Linked DNA regions of Saccharomyces cerevisiae S288C. The gene in region 1 interacts genetically with each later gene. Each region holds a gene or a part of one and is shown in the gene's direction. Other genes may lie near its edges.

Region 1 (4,506 bases):
CACCCAAACACTGAAAGTAATTCTTCGTATTTAAATAATTCAAAAGTTATGATGAGCAGGCTCTATGTAAAAAAATGGCCCATAATTTTCCCTAGAACGTTATAAAAACGCGACTAGTGAGGTATTGAGTATGGAGAGTATATTTGGTGGGTTTGGAGATCTAGTTGTTCCTAGGCCAAAGGAGCATCTCGGTCAAACAGACCTTTCCTTCGGTGGAAAATTATTGCCTGCATTGAAAATTTGTGAAGATGGCGGTGAAAGTGGTTGTGGCGGTAAAGTCTGGATCGCTGGCGAACTGTTGTGCGAGTACATACTCGAGAAATCAGTTGACCATCTGCTAAGTAAGACGGTCAATGGTACGAAACAATTTAAAAAAGTCTTAGAATTGGGTAGTGGTACAGGTTTAGTTGGATTGTGCGTGGGGTTGTTGGAAAAAAACACATTCCACGATGGCACTAAAGTATATGTTACGGACATTGACAAGTTGATACCACTATTGAAAAGAAATATAGAACTGGACGAAGTTCAGTATGAAGTTCTTGCGAGGGAACTTTGGTGGGGTGAGCCGCTGTCGGCAGATTTCTCACCTCAAGAAGGTGCTATGCAAGCAAATAACGTTGATCTAGTTTTGGCAGCTGATTGTGTGTATCTCGAGGAAGCTTTTCCATTACTAGAAAAAACACTACTTGATCTCACTCACTGCATAAACCCACCTGTAATCTTGATGGCTTACAAGAAGAGAAGAAAAGCTGATAAACATTTTTTCAACAAGATTAAAAGAAATTTTGACGTTCTTGAAATTACAGATTTTAGTAAATTTGAACATTATCTTAAGGAAAGAACCCACTTGTTTCAGCTTATCAGGAAGTAACCTGACACAGTGAATTTATCTCTTAATGATCCTGATCTTATTATATTTAGTAATGAACTTTTCGATAGACATTTGTAATTCATGAAAAAACGATATAACATTCATTTTTGTAGTGTGGTGTACGCATGGTGGGACTGCTCTTCTTGAGCGAAATTTTGATCTTCAATAGAGTGAGCAACGACAACTCAAGGATAAAGACAGAACAGCGGTAAACATCGTTTGCAAAATAACTAGAGAGCCGGATCGATTTACTTTGCAAAGTTGCGTCCTTTTTCCACGACAGAATATGTCTGCATTATTTAATTTTCGTTCTCTTCTGCAAGTGATATTGTTACTGATTTGTTCATGTTCTTATGTTCATGGGCAGTGGCCGTCTCTCCTAGATCGTTACAAAAATCATGAGGTTTTGGGGGCCTTCTGGAAAATGGCACGTGTTGGTGAAAGGGCCAGTCCATATGTTAGTTTAGCATGTATTTTGATGGCCATCAGTCAATTTAACAGCTGATTGGAAGATACTTAGTCATATGGATTTAAAGTTACGCAAATCAAGGTCATAGAAGGTGCAGTACCTTTTAAAACAAAGAGTATAAGTGGATTCAGACGAAGTGTCTCTTTAATTCTATCGTCTGATAGCGTACAAGTAAGGGTGCTATGAGCTAGCACGCACAGCAAAAATATAAACACTTTTGTATTTTTTTTTATTTTATAGTGTTTTGTGTTGAGTATTCATCTATTCGACCTCTATAGAGATTTAAGAAGGGAATTCATTGTCACAATAAGGACGCATAGTTGTTCATTTTAGACATCATTTACAGCACTTCCGTAAACTACCCCATATTGCGATTGAATACTACCGAAAAGGCTCAAGAATTTACGTGGTGCCCAATCAATTATATAGAATGAGGAACAATGGTAAGTAATGAATAATCATGGTCAGTAATAAAAAAGCAATCTCGTCCATGTTTCTTTTTGAAACTCAGAGCTTGACTCTGTTGCATTGGTATTTCATCATTTGATGAATTATTCACTATTCCATCTTCTTCTTACACAAGTTTACCAATAAATAACTCATCTGAGTTATTCAGACTTTTTATTAGATCAGTTCGGCATATTTAACTATGCAAAAGTTTTACACTGCTAAAAAGTAGTGTAAACAACAAACTGTTAAAAAAATAAAAAGGGGTGAATCCATGGACCAAGAATAGTAAGCTCCATTGGGTTACTCGATCCAGCACGGGAAAGAGCAATCGTCATAACTATGGTTTAGATTCCATACAAACGGAATCCAGTACCGAAGAAAACACCAGTACCCTGCAATAGAGGTACCAGGTCAAGAAGCAGAATACCCAAGGGCATCCTCCTTAATGAGTTGATTTAAACAATTTAAAATTTTTAAATCTCATTACGTTTTCCGCATACGAATTGGTGGGAGACTTTCAACCCAAAGCATATTACTGAGTAAAAAAAATTTTACTCCATTTTGTAAGCTTCGATTTGTGACGATTCTTTGGTCATGGATTGAAGAACTTTAAACGAGAAGAAATTAGAAAACAGGTGAAGACCACTATTTAGTTCTTTACCGCAACATAGGATAAACAAAGTTATTTTCTTACTCCTTTATATATTTGAAAAAATATAAAATCCACGGAAAAACATCGAAAATTCATTTTTCATGAAGGAAAATTAGGGTTCATACAGGAGTAGAGTTCATTGATGTGGTAGCAACCTTGTTAGCACTCATATTGTTCGAACAAAAAATGCCCTCTCAAACTTTAGTTGAAGAGCGATAAGGCATCTGAATCTCAAAAGTTAGACATGTCGGGGAGCTTCTGGACATCTACACAAAGGCATCATTGGCAATATACCAAGGCATCATTGGCTAAAGAGAGGCAGAAGTTATGGCTATTGGAGTGCCAGCTGTTTCCTCAAGGTTTGAATATTGTAATGGATTCGAAGCAAAACGGCATCGAACAATCCATCACAAAGAATATACCAATAACTCACCGAGACTTACACTATGATAAAGATTATAATCTAAGGATCTACTGCTATTTCCTGATAATGAAGCTTGGAAGGAGACTAAATATAAGACAGTATGCACTGGCTACAGCACATATTTATCTATCAAGGTTTTTAATAAAGGCTTCAGTTAGAGAAATAAACCTATATATGCTGGTTACTACGTGTGTATATTTAGCATGCAAAGTTGAAGAATGCCCGCAATATATCAGAACTTTGGTAAGTGAAGCCCGTACCTTATGGCCCGAATTTATTCCTCCTGACCCTACTAAAGTTACTGAGTTTGAGTTCTACTTACTAGAAGAATTGGAAAGTTACTTAATTGTCCACCACCCTTATCAATCCTTAAAGCAAATTGTTCAAGTCTTAAAGCAACCGCCATTTCAAATAACACTATCGTCAGATGATCTACAAAACTGTTGGTCCTTAATCAACGACAGTTATATAAATGATGTTCATTTGCTTTACCCTCCTCATATTATCGCTGTTGCATGTTTATTCATTACGATTTCCATTCATGGGAAACCAACCAAAGGATCATCGTTAGCATCTGCGGCTTCTGAAGCCATCAGAGATCCTAAAAATTCTAGTTCTCCTGTTCAAATAGCTTTTAATCGTTTTATGGCAGAATCTCTTGTAGATCTTGAGGAGGTTATGGATACGATTCAAGAGCAAATTACATTATACGATCATTGGGACAAGTACCACGAACAATGGATAAAGTTTCTGCTACATACTTTGTATCTTAGACCAGCATCTGCAATTTAATCATGCGAAGAATAAATTTAAAAACCGTTAAGCCTGTAAATTCAATCATTATGGTGGTGATGATCCGTTTTGGAAATGTTTCGTCCTTGACTACCTTTGTTTAACATGATATTGGAACGTCAAGACATATTGAGAATAGGTACCGTTATAATGCATAATTAAAAATTGCTTTGATATTGAGGTGGAAAGCTGGGTCGGACCTTGACATGTATTAAATTTAAAGAATCGAACCTAGTGTTTTTTTCTCCAGTGTTCAAAAAATCCTTTCAATTTGGTCTACTGCAGTAGCCCACTTATAACACACATTCAAGATGGGTGAACCGTGGCTCAAACTTCCCCATTTTTCAGAGTATGTGCAACCACAAAACCTTTGTCAGAAATTCTTATGGCAGGCCAAATTGATAAACTAACAGAAATATTAAACGCCCCCCAAGTTAAAATACTAGAACATGTTGGCTTATTTCAAAAACATTTTCTTCCTTTTCTAAAGTGTTTGATAATACTTTTGCATATATATAAGTGGACACGGACTAGTAAAATTGAACAGCATCATAGTCTTGATTTTGTGTGAAATGAGGTTGAGGATAAAGATCGCATTGCTGCAATCACACGAACTACTAAAAGAAAACTCAAAATAACGATGGTGCGATATATAAGTATTTATCTTCTAGCACAATTATCTGCCATTTTGTTCTACAAATTATTTGGTTTCTTTTATTATGCCTTCAATACATGAGCGGCAACTTTTAGCACAGAAAAAGTTGCTCCTCCATTTTAAGGCAAACGTATTGGATTTCTGAGTTCTCTGAATCAGGAATTAATTACCATACGTGCAGCACAGCTATTAG
Region 2 (3,721 bases), on another chromosome or scaffold:
TAAAGAGATTTGATAATTTATTAAACAAAAATAATGACTTCGTCATATACCCTTTTTTGTTGGACTTGACTCCATTTTGGGCCAATGATTTTGACGGGGTTTTTCCTCCAGGTGTTAATGACGATGAACTACCAATAAGGGGACAAATACCACCTTTTAAGTATGAATTATATGGTGTAGCATGCCACTTTGGTACTTTGTATGGTGGTCATTATACAGCCTATGTGAAAAAGGGATTAAAGAAGGGATGGCTATATTTTGATGATACCAAATATAAACCTGTCAAAAACAAAGCCGATGCAATTAACTCTAATGCATACGTTTTGTTTTATCACCGCGTCTACGGTGTTTGATTCATTTGAATAAATAACTGAAAACCGTTGTCTATACACTTTTTTTCCCGTTCAACATGGCATATCATTATTTCCATCTAAGGTCAAAGTAAAAAACCCTAAATACAAATGATTTATTTTAACGGTAACAAACGAACTTTTTTTTAGAAGGTGTAAAGATGAGATCACGCCCAGATTTTGTCTTCCTCCTGTGCATCTCTTGGATTGATGATTTTCCTTTCTACCATAATACGTCATGAAAAGTATGTAAATATTTATAGCATTACATATATCTTTTATATGAAAAAAATCACTCATTCCCAGTCATCATCGTCGTCGTCGTCCTTGCTCTCATCCTTGTTGGCGAGGCCAACATGGTCACTAACATCTTTCAATCCCTCTTGAGACACAGCAACTTTCGTCTCCCCTTTAGATTTGTTGTCAGCTACTGCTTCTACTTTGTCATCATCTTCTTCTTCTTCTTCGTCATCCCACTCAACTTCTTTTTCCTCCGTTTCCTTTTCCTTTTTGGACAATATTTCTTTCCTTTTACTTTCTTTATCTAGAATTTTGTTTCTTTGTAAGAAATAGATGTGCCAGAAATCTTTATAGCTGATTTTATGGGGTACGATGTCGTTCATTAATTTGGAGATATCTTTGTCGCCCTGTAAAATAGAACATATCTCCTCAGTTTTTTCATCCACGTCAAACGGGTCCAGTTGCAAATCCATTTTATTGTCTAAATAAACCGATTTATCTTTAGATAATGTCCTTAGTTCGGCTTCTGTTCTATTTCCACCCACAGCAATTTCATTTTCTTTCGAATTCTCATCCTTGTCATTAGAGTCATTTTCTGCAGCATTATCGAAGCTACTGAAGCCAGACCAAAAATTCTTAGTTTTCATTTTGCTCCAATATGACTGGGCTAGACTTTCCACGCTGTGAATATTCTCGTCTAGTTTCTTCAAATACTTTTGTGCAGTCTCTGTAGTTTCATTGCTAATTGGCAAGTTAATTTCAATTCCGTCATCTTTCTCGATTACTAACTTTTTGAATGCACTTGTAGTCTTTTCATATCGTTTATTGACTTCCTCTTCTAACTTTTGGAAGGCCTCATTTGTTTTGTCATCTCGGCTCTGAAGTTCGTTATTTTCAGTGTTTTCTGTTGATCCAGTTTCCTTGGTATGAGAGTTGCTTATTTTATCATCTTCGATACAAGCTACTTGTTCTTCATAAAAGAATTCCATTTTATCCTAAAACGTCGAAGCAATGGAGCTCACTAGCTGTACCCTTATGTTGTGTTCTTTTTTTGTTGCATGACTTCTGCTAAGTGCTTTTTATCATTAATCACCGCTATTTGATGTAAGGCCAAAAAAAATGCGAAAGAAAAAAAGAGACTCTGTTAAGAAGGAAAGGAGTACCAATATAAACTATGGGTTCACAATTGCTATGAATACCCAGTTCACACATCTAGAATAAGCTATATGTATCAAAATGACACTAGTGACTCCGTTACAATTTTCGACTGTACAGCCAAATTTATATAGAGGATCTTACCCACGAGAAATCAATCTCCCATTCCTGAGAACCCTTAGATTGAAATACATATTATCTTTGACACCAGAACCTTTGAGCACTGATCCTCTAATGGTAAAGTTTTGTGAAGAAAATAACATTAAGACAATTCATATAAAATGTCAAAGTGAAAGAAAGGCAGACAAGACCAAACCCAAGATTAAAAGGAAAAAGAAAACAGTTCCTATTGAATACGATGTTGTAGTACGATGCGTTAAATTTCTGATTGATAAAGGGCATTACCCCTGTTATATGCACTGTACGAATGGTGAATTGATAATATCTCTCGTAGTAGCATGTATGAGAAAGTTTTCATATTGGAGTACGGTATCCATACTAAATGAGTTTTTGGTGTATAATTCCAGCATCAATATTCATGAAAGAAATTTCATTGAAAACTTTAACTCTGAAATCGAAGTTGACGATCTGGATATAAAGGATAAAGTTCCCTGGATTACCGTGCGATATATTGCAAGGACAGCCACAGAATCAAAAGATGAGTTGCGTGTTGATGATGCTAATGCGTCTGAAAAAGTTGCAAGAGTAAGTAGCGTGTCAAATTCTTTGCCAAAACTAAAATTTCATAGTATGTAAAATTCAGGGATAAATTCATATAATATTTTGTAAAGACAGAAGCTTCAGGGTTAAGTCTTAGCCGGGCCCTCCAGCATTGATAATCATTTTTTTCAATATCAAATGCCATTGAAAAGTCCAACGAAAATTACATCGACTTTACAAAAGAGACGAGCCGGTCACATTCTAGTATTGGCGAAGATTGGAAGCCATTTATCAACAGCAAGGAGGCATTCTGGAAAAATTGCAGCATATTTAAGAAAAGTGATAGGTTTATTTTTATACTAGAAGGACAGGAGCAACGCAAGCCATAATGCAGATAATAACCACTACGTTCATTCAAAAAGTAATTTTAGGATCACACCAATTACATGAGCAATTATCTATAGTGGAAGCCCGAATGATTGAATCTGCCATAGTTTCAATGCTCACAGAATCATTTTGCGAAAATGAGCAGACATTAAAATACTTAGCACGGCTACTTTCACCGATGTCTTATATGGATGTTATTAATGCAAGAAGGGGAAAGAAAATATGTGGGTACCCGCTATGCTATAAGAGTGCGGCAGAAAATTCATCTGATGGCTTCTTTATCCACTCAATGTATTGTAATAATTATCACAGTAAATGTTCGTTGTATTTAATGAGACAGTTATCACAAACGCCTCTGCATGAAAGGCGAGGCGTGCATTTAACTAGTTACATTAATCTAGAGTTTGATGATATGTACTCGGTAAGCCTTTTAGAAGAATTAGTTGGAAGTGAGGTACCTATAGATACCGTCAAATCGCTGATAACGAGTTTCAAGGATCTTGAGTTTGATGATACCTACAAGAATGAGCCTTTACCATTGGATGTGTACTTTGGACAGTTGACTACTGATGAGGAAACCTGTATAGAATAGGAAGTATAATTAAATCGTCTTCATCAGGATCCTTATCGCGGTCATACGAGTGACTATTTACATAGAAATGGAAGTAACCAGTAAATTTTCTATTAAACTTTCTGATTCACGCAACTTTTGCACTTAAAAACCGTATTTCGCCAAAACACTTGGCAAGTCCCTCCCTTCTATAAAGAGTGTCACATATGGTAATGTTTCTTTGCTCATTTTTCTGAATAGTGTCAACCGTTTGGCGTACATTTCTTTTGACTTTTTATCAAAATATGCTAGTTGGCCACCGTTCTTTAAAAGCTTTTCCTTATATTTGTTAAAGTACTCCACTCTTTGAAAACTTTTG

Evidence for each region. Genes that interact genetically often act in the same process or in processes that back each other up.
Region 2: mutations in SSN8 (region 1) and OCA6 together harm fitness more than expected from each alone (negative genetic interaction), as found in Saccharomyces cerevisiae (3 studies listed by BioGRID).

What each region holds. Positions count from the first base shown.
Region 1 is NC_001146.8:583,472-587,977, reverse strand, and holds SSN8 (cyclin-dependent protein serine/threonine kinase regulator SSN8), read left to right. Parts: upstream 1-2,686; coding exon 2,687-3,658; downstream 3,659-4,506. Other genes in the region: EFM6 (putative protein-lysine N-methyltransferase), read left to right, coding at 131-871; KSH1 (Ksh1p), read left to right, coding at 1,158-1,376. UniProt on the Saccharomyces cerevisiae protein: Component of the SRB8-11 complex. The SRB8-11 complex is a regulatory module of the Mediator complex which is itself involved in regulation of basal and activated RNA polymerase II-dependent transcription.
Region 2 is NC_001136.10:581,571-585,291, reverse strand, and holds OCA6 (protein-tyrosine-phosphatase), read left to right. Parts: upstream 1-1,826; coding exon 1,827-2,501; downstream 2,502-3,721. Other genes in the region: ubiquitin-specific protease DOA4, read left to right, coding at 1-353; DOS2 (Dos2p), read right to left, coding at 647-1,579; RTR2 (putative protein-serine/threonine phosphatase), read left to right, coding at 2,794-3,384; RRG1 (Rrg1p), read right to left, coding at 3,508-3,721.